Linked DNA regions of Mytilus edulis. The main gene of each other region encodes a partner of the protein of the gene in region 2 in a complex. Links are inferred from orthologs where the notes say so. Each region holds a gene or a part of one and is shown on either strand. Other genes may lie near its edges.

The links.
Region 1: condensin complex subunit 1-like (region 2) and condensin complex subunit 2-like share a complex: the UniProt entries of both Homo sapiens proteins name them as parts of the condensin complex. The link is inferred for Mytilus edulis from reciprocal best matches to the Homo sapiens genes NCAPD2 and NCAPH.

What each region holds. Positions count from the first base shown.
Region 1 is NC_092347.1:57,141,567-57,149,084, forward strand, and holds the start of condensin complex subunit 2-like, read right to left. Parts: upstream 3,019-7,518; 5' UTR 2,908-3,018; intron 2,578-2,907; exon of another isoform or gene 2,415-2,577; intron 228-2,414; coding exon 1-227. UniProt on the Homo sapiens protein: Regulatory subunit of the condensin complex, a complex required for conversion of interphase chromatin into mitotic-like condense chromosomes.
Region 2 is NC_092356.1:7,066,457-7,073,666, forward strand, and holds the start of condensin complex subunit 1-like, read left to right. Parts: upstream 1-4,188; 5' UTR 4,189-4,299; intron 4,300-6,048; 5' UTR 6,049-6,056; coding exon 6,057-6,174; intron 6,175-6,948; coding exon 6,949-7,024; intron 7,025-7,210. Other genes in the region: uncharacterized protein, read right to left, coding at 3,397-3,935. UniProt on the Homo sapiens protein: Regulatory subunit of the condensin complex, a complex required for conversion of interphase chromatin into mitotic-like condense chromosomes.

The sequences.
Region 1 (7,518 bases), on a different chromosome or scaffold from region 2:
GCAGGACTCCCAACAGTTTGTTTCAATTCTAATGCTCTGGAGCGACGTCGATCACGCTTCTCAGTACCAGCATCATATTCTTCCATATACATAGTCACAGGACTATCCATTCCTTTATGTCTGCTAGTTGATGGAGACACAAAACTACCAACTGTATTACTAATACCAGACCGTTTCTGTATGGCTGGCGTTGTCAAAGGAGAGAGGACATCTGACCTGCTGGGCATCTATAGAAAGCAAAAATTGTTCAATTGTTAATCAGTGTAAATTAAAGAAGTCACACTAACCAGTCTTTGGTTCTCTAGTTTTTCTTTAATGCTATGTTGACAATTTTATGATCTGAAGTGATATGCTTTTTTAATAAGAAATTGATTTTGATCATAGAAGCAGCTTGTAGTAATTTATTTTAGTGGAAAATAAATATACAAGGTTTTTTTCCAGTGAAAAGAGTTACATTCTGTCATTGATGACCAATGTACATGTATGCAGCTTGGGGAACTCAGCTAAATATTGTTTATTTAACCATTAGTGTCCATCACCAATTGTAAAATTGTGCATTCAAAGATAAAGAAGACATTAATACACTATTAAGTTTATTTGATTGTTTATTGTCACATGTACATAGGAATAAGCTTTCTAATTGCTGAATGGGGATATTTTTTATTTGTTAGTCTACACACAGGAATTCCCCAGTTAAAATATGAAATTGTAATTAGTGACAATGGAAAAGTCAGGCCAAACCTCAGATGTGTAGAATTCATGCAACCAAGTTCAGGAACTAATTGACAAATGCATTTATTTACAAATTTTGAAAAGTTCAAATACAGTGATCGGGAAGGTCGTGCGCCCTGCGCCTATAGCGCATATCGACCAGAAATGGCGCATAGAGTGACTTATATAAGCGCCCACGTGGCGCACGATATTTTTCACTTCGTTTCGATACGTTTTGATATCGTCAAATGGATTTCCGATCGTGTACCGTGCCGCCATGTGTGTGTACACAACTGTGTAATGTTCCTCCAATGATAGGAGCACCTATATATTTTTGGGACGTCTCGGGTGTTTTCCTATGGAAATAATAGAACCATGGGTGTAACTGATTACCCAAAAAACGTAATTAACCATCATTCATGATATGATTTTTTACAACCTTAAATTTGTAAAATTTGGCTAGTACAGACGAGATTTGTCTCTAATTATTATCTTTTAATTTAGTTCAGCTTGCTACTTTTTCGTTGAAAAACCCCAAAGCCTTTTTATGAATATAGTTTTTGTCTCCATAAAAGGCGACTAACTGTCCTTGTCACTTTTTGGTCTTTGGCTTGTTTTGACATTTTGTAAACATGCCTTCAGCGAATTGTTGTTTTGTTTTATCAATTAATGATACTCTCTACTGTTATTGTTGTCATCGTGATGAAGTAATAATAATACAAGAAGTGCAGAGGAAATGCCAAATACGTCCTCTAATACGGAACGTCGGGAATAAGTATGGTATCGACGAAGACCCAAATTTAATGTAAAAAAACTCATGCACATGAACAAGACAACAGTAGCAGTAGAAACATTGTAAATAAAGGATATCTTAAATATTATCTGGTTTGGAAGAAATTATTTTACATTCTTTGTTGAATTGAAATAACAAAATCACAGGCACAATATCTATAATATTATTTAAAATCATTAAGGTAAGTACCACCATCTCTTTGCTGAGATATACACTTTTTACTTTTTTCACTGTAGTCAATTCAAATGGCCCATTCATTTGACAACATGGCCCATTATTTTTTAAAATGGCCCCTTGAATTTAATTTTGAGGGGCCCTGGGCCCAAAGAGAAATAATCCTTCCAGATCACTGCAAATAACATTAAATATAAATTTACAATTTTTAAAATGCATCCCTGTTTATTTTCTAGCATGTGTAATATGTACATATACATGTACTGTACAACTGAAAAACTTTCTTCAAAATGTTTAATTTTCCTCTCCCAGTTGTGGATTTGAAGTTGTAACACAGATGTCCATTAATTTAATACATTGAGAATGATTTGCTGTGAGTATTACATTTGTTAAGAGAGTATAAAGGATTTTCTCCTATTGCATCATGGCAATTTCATTCTTTCCTGTTATTGTGACAGGTATTTGCAGTGCCAGGCCCAAATTCTCTTGTTACATGCATGAAAACAACAGGATGAATTAAAGAAATCAATATGAATACATTTGTATATACATTTTTTGTACATGTAGATTATCAATTATAGATTGTATAGTGTTGACTGTATGCATAATACAAAAACAACTGGCATATCTAAAGCTTACAGTATTTCACAATTATTTAAAACATTAAATATAATACAAAATTGAAAAACACTTTTTTACTCCTGTATCAGTTTATGTATGCTTTACATGTACTTACTGAACAACCCAACAATTTGAAAATAATAATGTGTTGTCATTCCTCATATTTAGTATTAAGTAACCATTGTTCAACATATAACTTGCGAATAATCAACAAAATTCTGTTTTGCATCAGTACATGTGCAGACAATAATAAACTGAAGAACTATCAAAAGGGAGACAACTTCAAAAGATTTGAAACATTTTAAATATTGACTATCATAATTTGTGTTTAGCGGTTTCTGTTCTTTTATATTTCTTAATTGTCATGCTATTATTCGTTCCTAAAAATATCTTTAATGTATAAACTACATATTTGTTATTAGAAATCACTATAAACATGATAAATCGGTTTATTTTGATATTCATAAAAAATTATGAAGACTGAAGTGAACCCGTTCTCATTTGATTTAAACAATCTTAAAGGGTACACAGTTTGATAATTTCATAGACTCACTGGGAATGTTTTGTAATTTTGTATATGTGTTTTGTCATTTACACTATAAAGTCACCTTTTGTGTTGTTTAGAACTTATCTATTGTTTTGAAGTTTCCGCCATCCGTATGGTCTCGTTTGTGGACGAGAAATTGCGAGAAATAGGGACACACTAAGACATTATTTGCATTTCCGTGTATGCCTCTGTAAGATGGAAACACGTAATAATAGTTTTCATCGTCTAAACGTTTCAAATTCAGCAAACAAACCAAAAGAAAGTAGCAAAATAACAACATATGTATCTTATAAGTATCCATTAAAATGTTACTAGAAAAAGCACACCTCCTTATTCCTGAGACAAAGAGTAAAGGTTAGTATAAATAACATCCACAATTGTATATATTACAAAATACGCATTATGTACAGTATTCACGAATTCAAGATTACATATTGATTTTAAAAGAAAAAAGTGACTATATAATTTATTTATCGTTAATTCTTACTTTGAATGAAGCATTTGTGTAGTGTACTATAGCAATTTGCACTTAACTTTATGAGAGCCACAAGTAAGATTAGAACACAATATAATAAAATTGAGAATGGAAATGGGGAATGTGTCAAAGAGACAACAACCCGACCATAGAGCAGACAACAGCAGAAGGTCACCAACAGGTCTTCAATGCAGCGAGAAATTGGTTTCACTCTCTTTAAATAAGGCATATTATTATCAATGCTGCTTAAATTTTCTTCAAAATGTAGGTGAAACCTAAATTAGATATGAAGATTGAATATAAAATAGAATAAGATGATATGCATGGTACGGATTCCAATGAGACAACTGTAATCCAAAAAGACAAGAGGACAAATATGTGAACAATGTCAGATCACCACAAAGGGTAATGTCACTAGCTCTCGTATCCGCCGCGTAATCTGATCCAGAAGTGATAAACTGGGTTTTCAATCGTTAACAAAGTTTAAAATCGAATTTCATTTTGGAAAAAGATGAGTTCTTTTATAACAAGATGTCACCATTTTCCCTGAATTTGTTTCCATCGCCGAGTCGCGGATGCAAAGGTGTTGAAAGCTAGAGAAATTTTGAAATGTAAATAATTGCTTGTAAGTGGCTTCGAACAGTAACATAAATAATGCGGCGGGGGTAACATGTTTGTGAAACTCACTCCTTCCTAACCTAGTGTAGTAGTGTGAAAATCGCAGTCACATTGGAACAAATCTTAAAACTACGTTAAAAAAGTCGACTCGATCATAAAAAAAACACACAAAAACATGTAACAAAAAGAATTAAAAAAAAACATTGATTCAATGATGTCATAGATAAAACACTCTTTGAATATAGTTTCAAATTGTTGTCAAATGATATACTATAAAAAGGAGTGGGGGTATATTAATGGCATTACAATCTAAACACTATAGATACAGTATGTCTGAACTGTATAAGTCAGTTAAGATAAAAATCTTATTTTTTTTTAATTTTTGGTTGTACAAAAGACAAGCTCTGAATCAAGTTATCGTCTTGCTTAAACTATGTCCTGTAATAAATGATTCCTGTATATTCAGAATAAGGACTGCTAGATAAGTGTCTAAGTTCAGAACGGGAGCAAACTAACATTAAACTGATATATGCAAATATGAAAATGAAATTATTCAGGATAAGGCAAAACATTTTGACCCAACGCTTGCACACATACGAGAGCTGTTTTAAGGGCCATTCTCAAATGAACAGCAAAAGAACAGTGTGCCAAGCTTATAAACTTCATCAACAAACCAAATTTCAGAAACAAGAAACAATTAGAATTCAAAAGTTTATTAAAGTCTCACCACATACGACATGATTAAAACAAGATACAATTATAAAATTAATTATACAGTAAACATAGTTAAAACAATTAAATACATGTATGTGCCATTCTTAAAAGAATTATGAGAGACTATTAAAATACAAATAATACTTATTCATTTTATAAAATACTACAAATACAGTAGTTAATGATATAAAATACTGTTTCTCCTTGTTAAAATGTTATTGCAGGTTTTGGCAACAATATTACAAATATTGGTATTTTTAAACATATATATAAATTTTTCTTCATCAGACAAGTTTAAAAACATATCATTATGACACAATTTATCAATAAAAAGAGCATGTCTTAGATCTTCATACAAGGGACAATTTAAAAGTACATGTTTTTCATCCTCTAAAATATTACAGTTAAAACAGACACTTTCGTCTAGATTTTTTCTTTCATATCGACCAGTTTCAATTTTTAATGGTGCTACATCACATCTAAACTTTGAAAAAGCACTACAATGGCGCTGTGGCATTTAAACAAGATGGCAGGCATAATTCAAACCACTATTTAACAACGAATACAGTACACGCATTTTAAAAGAATTAAAAAAGTGCACACAACAATAGTTCAATGTAATTATTCAAATATTCAAATATACATATTTTTTTATTTGAAGAAGCAAACACTTAGTCCAGAAGACAAATTTCAAGTCAACAAAAAAACCCACCTAAGGACATGTATAACATTATACAATATAACACTGAACAATATAAATTATCACTGGTATACTATTTGAGTCTGGTGGAGGACCGTAAGGGTTCTGTACAGGAAATTCGTTTCAGTACATAATTGAAAATAGCACAACAGAGGTGTGGGTAACACAACAGCCTGGTTTGTGTACAAACGGCATGACAATAAACGGACAGCAAATGTGATACAAAGGGTCATAACAGCACTGCATTCAAGCACAAACTCCTGACTTGGGACATTCATATACTGAATGCTGCGGGATTAAGCCATCATTCCGACGTGGGGGTCATCTCCACCAAAACAGTGATTCATATAAGAGCACATTGATTTAATTAGAGAATTTCTATAAATTAGTCACTTGAAAGACTGTCCCTGATATAACATAAGAACAAATTATCCGTGACTGAAATCATATAAATGATCGCCGATACAGAGCACACCACAACTTATAATGTGAACGCAATAAGGGACGACATCAAAAGTTCAATGAAGGATAAAAAACTTAATTCAAATAGTTTTTTCACTGACCCCCCTATAAACTTAATTTGGGAAAAATTGATTGACCCATATGGATATATGTAAAAATCAAAGTCGGATAACCAAATCTTGCAGCAGTTCAACCCCCAAACTATTTGAATTAAGTTTTTTTTTTTTTTTTTTTTTTTTTTTTTTTTTATCTTACATTGATCTTTTGATGTCGTCCCTAAAGATAAGATTATCGATCTAATAATATTCGAAGCTACCGAAAGTTATTTTAATGCCAATAACAACTAAAAAATAATCATGTAGTCAATTTAAATTTCACTCATTATTAATTTAGTCTATTTGAATTACTCAAAATATCAATATTCACAATTTAATTTTTAAAATGATAATTTTTAATAATGTAAATCATAAACTATGTCGTTTAGTGCTATATCTTTGTCATTTTAATCTGAGACTACTATAACTATATGTGTTATAGTAGTCTCAGTTTTAATTTATTGTGTTTGTAAAATTCATGCCTTTTATCTTGAATATGTGTGCACACAAAAAAATATTCATCCGTATACGTTCCTTTGATTAAAAGTGTAAAGACGTCATAAACATTTTATGAAAGCGTGACCTTCTACAATAAGGTACCAAAACAATTGTCCATTTTGCTTGTGTGATCTTTTTTTTCTAATAACATGTTAAAACGCAATCAGATCTACTTCTGTGGAATGAATTTCCATTTATTTATTTATATTCCGCGATATGGGTCCGACTTCGAGTTTAGCAGTACATAATTTATTTTTACCTGCGTTTCGAAACCGTTCATTTCATTGGTTGATATATTTAGCAGCGCCATCTTTAAAAACAACAAGCTAACAAGAGTAAGCAGGATAAAATTGAAGATTGGAAAATCAGTGATTGTACACCAGTTAAATTTGATTTAACACCAAATTTTAAGGATTTATTAATTTTTTAATCCTCCTGATAGAAATTCCATTTTTTCATTTACATTTATTTTTGACAGTCAGACTTGTTTCAATTTCAAAGAAAAATAAATTTTTATCTGGCAAAAGCAGAGTATTCCGTAGTCCAAATAATTATGACGTCTTGAAAGGCTATTATAATTTTTTTCTTTGACGCCTTACTTCTTGAAAGGCTATTATAATTTTTTTCTTTGACGCCTTACTTCGAATCGAAGTAAGGCGTCAAAGAAAAAAATTATAATAGCCTTTCAAGACGTCATAATTATTTGGACTAAGTATTCCGTAAACAGTGTTAGCTACTGTTAAATGACATTTGTGTTAATAACTCTAACAGAAAAATATATAAGTGTGTAGACCAAAAAACATAATAGACTTTAGTGACTACCATTAATGTATCAAACAATACTTATATAAAACTTTGTAGTCTAAGGTGGGTCTCACTGAGGTTAGACCGAATAATCTGTCTTGTGTGGGTACATTTGTCATTTCATATTTTCTTTTCATCATTTGGCTATTTATTATTTTTTTTTTTTTTGTGTGTCCACACGGAGACAGAAAGTGCTACTATCAAAAACGAAGCAAGACATCTCGGCACATTACAAACTCGGGACACGTCAACTCGGCATAGTGTAAACTCGGCACATTACAAACTCGGCATATTACAAACTCGGTA
Region 2 (7,210 bases):
ACAGTAAGCATGGTTATAAAGAAATTTATTTTCTAAACCCATAAGATGGATGACCACTTGTCTTTTCCTGAAAAATATTACTGATTAATTGTTTGTGTTTAACGTAACATTCAGCACTCTCTACATATACATCTACATACATGTAATACTCTTTAACTTCAATATGTTGAAGATTACAAGAATGCACAAACTAGGGAAAAAATTTAAAATCTGATCATATAAACAATATTTTCAAAAACATTTTTCATGGCAACCCAACAGTTCTTGAAAATAAGTCACATGCCAGTCATGTGGGTTGACATTGATTAAGATTTCGTCAGTCTAATCTTTTACTTGGCATTTTGCATACATTGTACATGTATATGACATTATTTTCAACTTTTTTGTAGTTTCAATGTAAAATTGCCAATTTACAGAAAGACTTAAACCTATAAAGAATTTATTTAGAGCATCATTTTACTAGATTTCTTTTTAATCAGACATTATTGGGTCTTTGTCTGCCCACACTTTTGAGATGTAAATACAGAAGGTGGACTGGACCCAGGATGGGGTAATTGTAATCTGTAATCCTAATCGATTGTAATTGATTACATTTTTTTCAGTAATCGACAGTAATCTGTAATCGAAGACATTTCGATTACATATAATCTTAATTTAATCGATTACAGCAATTATTATGATGTAATCATTGATTACTTTAGTAAAATAGTTTAATGAAATATATCCTTTTTTAAATGAAAATAAGTATGTCTTCATCACTTTATAGTACAGATAAAATAGAAATTATTAAAAAAAACTTCAGAGTTTATCAAATGCCTAATTTGTATCTTTTGTCTATAGCTACATTTTGATCAACCAGATCTCCTACCAAATTTTACTGTATATAATCAGCTATGAAACAATTGACTATACTGTCTTCAATGCTTGCCAATAATTTAAAGACCTTTTATTTTGAAATAAGAAAATAGATAAAAATAAGAAATGAGTCTTGTGTTAACCCTTTCAACGCTATACACGGCATATGCCGCGATGACATACGCCGTCCGCCACTGCTATTCGCGGCATATGCCGCGATGACAACGGATTTTTCATAAGGACTCGAAACCATTCGGTTTTCATTCGGGTCCTCTCTTATTTTTCCTTGTATGAATTGAAGATATGCAAGGTCTCATTTGCGCTTGAAATCCCGGCAATTTTTATTGTAAAATCATGCAGTAGAAGGAAAATTGGAGGAAAATAAAAACAAATATTTTGACAAATGCAAATGGCGGAAATCGGAAACGAAGCTGTAAATATGGAAATATTTCAGCATTTCTATGGCGAAACTGATGACGAGGATTAGTTAAAAGTTTCTTGTTATCTCAATGTGTTTATTACATTCAATTCGTGTGGGAAATATGATTTGATCGATCATTACGAGACATAGAAAAAGGGGGGAAAACGGAGGTTGACTGAAAATTTTGAGGACGGAGCCACTGATTTGTGCCATGATTACATAATACGTTGTGTATGGTGCAATACGCTACGGAATCGAGCAATTGGTGTCTTCTTTATTATATGGCAGATAAAAAAACAAAATAGATGAAGACGAAAAGTAGTTTTTATTCAAAATTCAACACAAATGTAACAAATTACACCTTTTACCTGTTAATTACCTGAAAATGCAGGTAACCTGATAAAAATTTTACTTAAATAACTGCCTAACATTACAGTTCATACTCTCCTGAGCATTTTTCATGCAATAACTTTTTCTGTATCTCTTATAATAAAAAAGATACAGCAGTCTGAAAAGGAATATACTGTTCTAATGAATGAACACAAAAAAAATGCAGCAGCAGCAGCCATTTTTCTATTTTTTTGTGTAGCGTTGAAAGGGTTAAGTTCTGTACTGCATTGACATTGAAGCTTAGTTTTAAATAAGAGGTGGAATTTTAGCTAGAATAGATAAACAGTTGATTCGTCATAATATTATGATTTAAAAAATTAGAAAGTTCACAAAATCCTTTTGACAATGAACCGATAACTATGCATTGAAATTTTGTGCAGGATACCTGTATCCCATTTTGACACTAAAAAATATATATTGTTTATAATTTTGAATATAGCATAATAAAATTTCAACTAACTTATTGTCTTTACCAATCAGATGATCAAGGATTTCTAATCAATGAGATGCCAACTTTGTTTTGATTTCAGTTATGTCTAATTAAGAGGAGATTTACATTATATTGCCCCAGTTATAAAATGTATCCCATTGGCAGTTTTATAATCTGTATTTAGGAAGGCTATCCAAAAACCCGATTATTTCATGCATGTATTAATTATAAATATTATAAAATTACATCTTTAAAATTAGCTGAACTAGTTAATTATTCTCCTTTTTTATATATTTTTTTCAGAGGAAACTTCCAACATTGAAATGAACTATATTCAAATATACGTGTTAAAAATGAGTAAATACAAAATACCTAACTTACGTCAGTATGACAGCAAAAATTTGCAAAACATGGAGAAAAAAAAAAAAATTTAAAGAAGTGACCGAAACCAGGCCATGTCAGTGCAAGAAATTTATCACTACTCACTCATGTTGAAAACCAAAAATCAAGAATTTTTAAATATTTCTCATCCTCAGTAAGAGCTTCCATCAAGAAAACAACTGTTAACTTAAAATTTAAAAACAATGCTTTAAATGCTGTTTTCATAAAGTTCTAAATTTCCACTATACATACGTTGAACTACATAGTTATGTTTAACTTACTTATTTTATTGTTATTTTGTAGCATGTAATTGACAGTAATCGAAAAGTAATGTAATTGCAATTGATTATTAATCGAATACACAAAAATCCTTCAAGTAATCGATTACTTTTGTCAGTATCATGCCCATCCCTGGACTAGACATATATGCATATAGTCATTTGATTGTACATGTATTAACTTCTATAAATTGGTTAAAGATAGACAAGCCTTTTGCAGTTACAGAACATCATCACACAAGTTAATAATTGAAATTAGAAGATAGATAAATATGTCTAGAAATATATAATCTGTCATCATGGTCATGTCTGTTGTAAATGTAAAAAAATAAAAATTGGGAATTTTTTCTTTTTATATCAAAATGTGACTAATACCACAATGACGGAACGTAAGTGTTTTTTATCATTATCATATCTAATAAAGTTGGGAAAAAATATCCAGTTAACCGAGGCAGTGTTATCCCATGGCCCATATCATACAGACATGGGGTAATTGAAATATGTAATTGTAATATGACATTGCAGTTCGGCCGCACCGTTAAAATGGTTTGTTTGATCTCGAAGTGCCTTTATTGGCAACTGTTTGATAATACTAGAAAAATTCTCTTTTATGGCAGCACCTGTCTCATACTATCAATTACCTTGGTGAGTATTCTGATACCCCGAGTGCTCTTTTGATCGATGGTAAAAATGGTGCTGGAGATCTTGAATGACCATTTGTTGATGAAATGGACAAGTTGCCATCCGAGCGATCTTGAAAAGAGCATGAACTGTTAAACAATGACGTCCGGAGATATGGAGACGGAGATGAAAAAGTCTGACTTCTGTTAATTGATGTTTTTTGTCGATTTGGGCCTGGTGTCAGTTTGACTGTGGATGGCATTTCTGCTTCACAGTTTGCATTAAAAAACTGTTTGAATGATGAATCGTAACTGTTCTTCTTGTTGCTTAATTTTATTTTAGTTTTCTTTTCATGTGAGAATGGTTTCGTCTTTTTCAATTTAAATGCTGTTAATTTTTGAGTATTTGTACTTTTCCAGGAGCCGTTTACGACATTCGAGCCCCATATGACAGCAACTGCTAAAACTGTGAGTAAAACAATACTTTTAAAACTTAAATATAACAATATCACAGACGATAACAATAAAAGGATAAGATAAAAGGGCTTAAAATTATTCATTTTTGTCCATCTCGGGGTTAAAAGATTTTCTCATGCCGGCCACTTTCGGTTTGGAGATTAATGATTGCTTCCGGTCGTCGGAACTTTAAATAGATTTTCAAATTGATTGGTCTATTTAAATTTTACGTTTTCATCAAATCATTTATAGGTTCAAAATTTGGAAGAAATTTGATAAACCTAATCGAAATTATAATTCTATTTTCCTTTGGTCTTTATTTTTCTTTTTTCTAAAAGATGTAAATATAAAGCTTCAATTTGATTGGTCGATATCTCACGCTGCGAAAGGCGGAAAGTTGAAATTTTCAAAGTTTGTAAACATTGTGGAATGATCAGTATAGTATTGACGCTTAGAAAGTTAAAAGAAGTAAGAGTCTACATTACAAGTTATGCTATTATACTTATCATTGATTTATAGATGAGAACAGTTATAAAGGAAATGCAAGAAGGCGTGAACTCATAATTTTGTTGAAACATAAAAAGGGGGGTTTCCTTGAACATTGCAAGGTTGAGTTATTGAAAGTTTACTAAATGTTGAAACTTTCTAGATATCATATCTTTCGTAAGAGGCAGTACGATCCTTCAAACCCTTGTGTCATGTATTCATTCAGATCCCTTGTTGCTGTACCAGTTCCCGCAGTACTGACTGAAGAAACTCCCTGTTCTGTTCACAATACATCTTATCGCTATTTGAAATTATGAGTATTTGTCTGACATCATAAAACAAAATATCTGACGCTACAACGAAAAAGTGATTGTTGTATACATTTTTACGTCAATAGTTAAAGCGGCCGGGTCAGCTGGAATTACTTCTACTACCACTAAGTGACCACCGTCATTTGGTTGACTATCCTGTTTTAGCGATAAGGTGTATAATTTGACAACACCATACAAGGTTGGGCTAGCCTAAAGTCAGGAAAAGTGGGGGTTATACAATCAGAAGAAGATAAAGTTGTTCGGTATTCTGTCGTTCTGTCTACAAACTAATCCAGCTCCAAGTTGATCCTTCCCACGTCGATCCGGCCTCATAATATAATAATGAATACTAATCTATACTGCCTTTGGAGGATTTGGTGTCAAATTGAAATCAGTATAAATGGAATTTTAAAAATCTACAAGTATCCATAATTGACGACATTATTTTGAATCGATACAAAAATCAGTGTCATTGTGTCTGTAACTCAATAGACTGCTTAATTTTCATTGAGGCCCTTACACAAAATTAAATACATGTTATATTTCTGTCTCCTCTTTTATAGAAAGGATTCGGCAAATCAAACAACATTTATCAATTTTAGAAGTTTTTAGAACTCAAACAAAAATTAAGTGTGTATCAGCTTAGGGATCGGCTTGTGTTGTTGTTAATGTAACTTCCTTATTACACAGGATGACACTTGCTAGGATCACAGTCAATTGGAAACAATACAATTAATGTTGATTGTAATAAATTCTTTTATGTTTTTTATTGTAATTATACCCGTACAGCTTTAACATTATTATAAAATTCATAAACATTTATGAATTACAATAAATATCTTCCTTTTATTCCTTATAGATATAATTTTTTATTGGGGCTGGATCGACTTGGGGCCAGATCGACCTGAAAACAAGTTGTTTCTGTCTCTTACATTGTATATTCAGATTAGAAATTTAAAGTAAATGAATAAGTTAGTTTAGAGATCTGAAAATAAAAAGGGAATGTACTATTGAAAAAGAAATCAACTAATGAACTAGTCTAGAAACTGAAGCAAGTATTTTCTGCAGAATTAACAAAAAATGAAGTGGTTAATTAATTATCGGGAATGAAAATGACAACTTGATTGGCTGGCACTGTATGGACAAAAATATCATCTCTGACCAGCCTCATTACTATTCTGATAATGACTTAACCCCATACTCATGCTGTGATGTTTTAATGTTTGTAAGCCCATTTTTCTACTTGGTTAAAAAAGAACGGTCCAAAAACTACATTTGCGAAATGAGCACAATGAGAATTAAAATTGTAAATAAGTGCAATCACTAGACAAATCTGAAATGTTGTTATGAAGTCTATTTCTATTGATAAATGATTGAAGAAATGAATACTGTTTAATAATCTCTTATTCTTTATTTTCAGTTTTAAAGATGAGTTTTGAATTTGTAATTCCCTCTTCTCGTGATGACTTGTTAAACAGAACAGGTATAGATCACTTTGTTGTCAGTGAGATTGCCACACTGAGAGAGATACCAGGTGCTCTACAAGGTAAATTGAAAAATATTTTGTTGATGAAAATTGAAACATGTTGATGCAGCTGTTATCCATCTTTCCACATCTTTTATTTATTTATCTGTAGTTATTGTACATTTTGATAATAAGAAAAAGTTGAGAAAAGCAGAACAAATATAAGATTAAACAATATATGTAATAAAAAAGCCCAATTCATTCTTTTCTGTTAATTGTGTTTTCAATATTGCTTTCAATCAAATAAGCCACATCAATGATTTGAACTCTTGAGGATTGTTGCCTTATTGGACAATCATACCATGTTTCTTATTTTATACTGATATAAATAAAATACAGGTAGAAATCAGCAGTATTTTAATCTCTATTCAAAATTTTTACAATCTTTATTTATAAAAAGTAAAAACACAAAAATACTGAACTCCGAGGAAAATTCAAAAAGGAAAATCAAAAATCAAAAGGCAAAATCAAAAGTCCAAACACATCAAACGAATGGATAACAACTGTCATATTCCTGACTTAGTACAGGCATTTTCTAATGTAGAAAATGGTGGATTGAACCTGGTTTTATAGCTAGCTTAACCTCTCACTTGTATGACAGTCGCATCAAATTCCATTACATTGTCAACGATGCATGAACAAAACAAACATACTCAAAGAGTAAAAATGCCAAAAATAGGGGTACAACAGTCAATATTGTGTTATCATCTTAATTTTCTTATTTTTCCTTAAACTTCTACTATAACTTACAAGATCAAAGTGCTCTAAATAAAAAGATGTTTTTTGTCTTTACAGAATTGAAGACTGCTTTTCGAAGCCAGGGCAGCAAATGTCTTTTACATAAGTTTGATACTCTGTTCAGTGTTATATGGTTTGTATTCTATTCATTATAACATCGTTTTTAATAATGTTAAAAAATTAGGGAAAGTCATTGTTTTCATTAAAAGCTTTCAATTTCAGTTCAAAAATATTTTTATTACAATTCATTATTGCATTTTATTTGAAAGTGTATTATTATTCAAGGTCTAGATTTTTTCACACAATTTTCGTTATCATT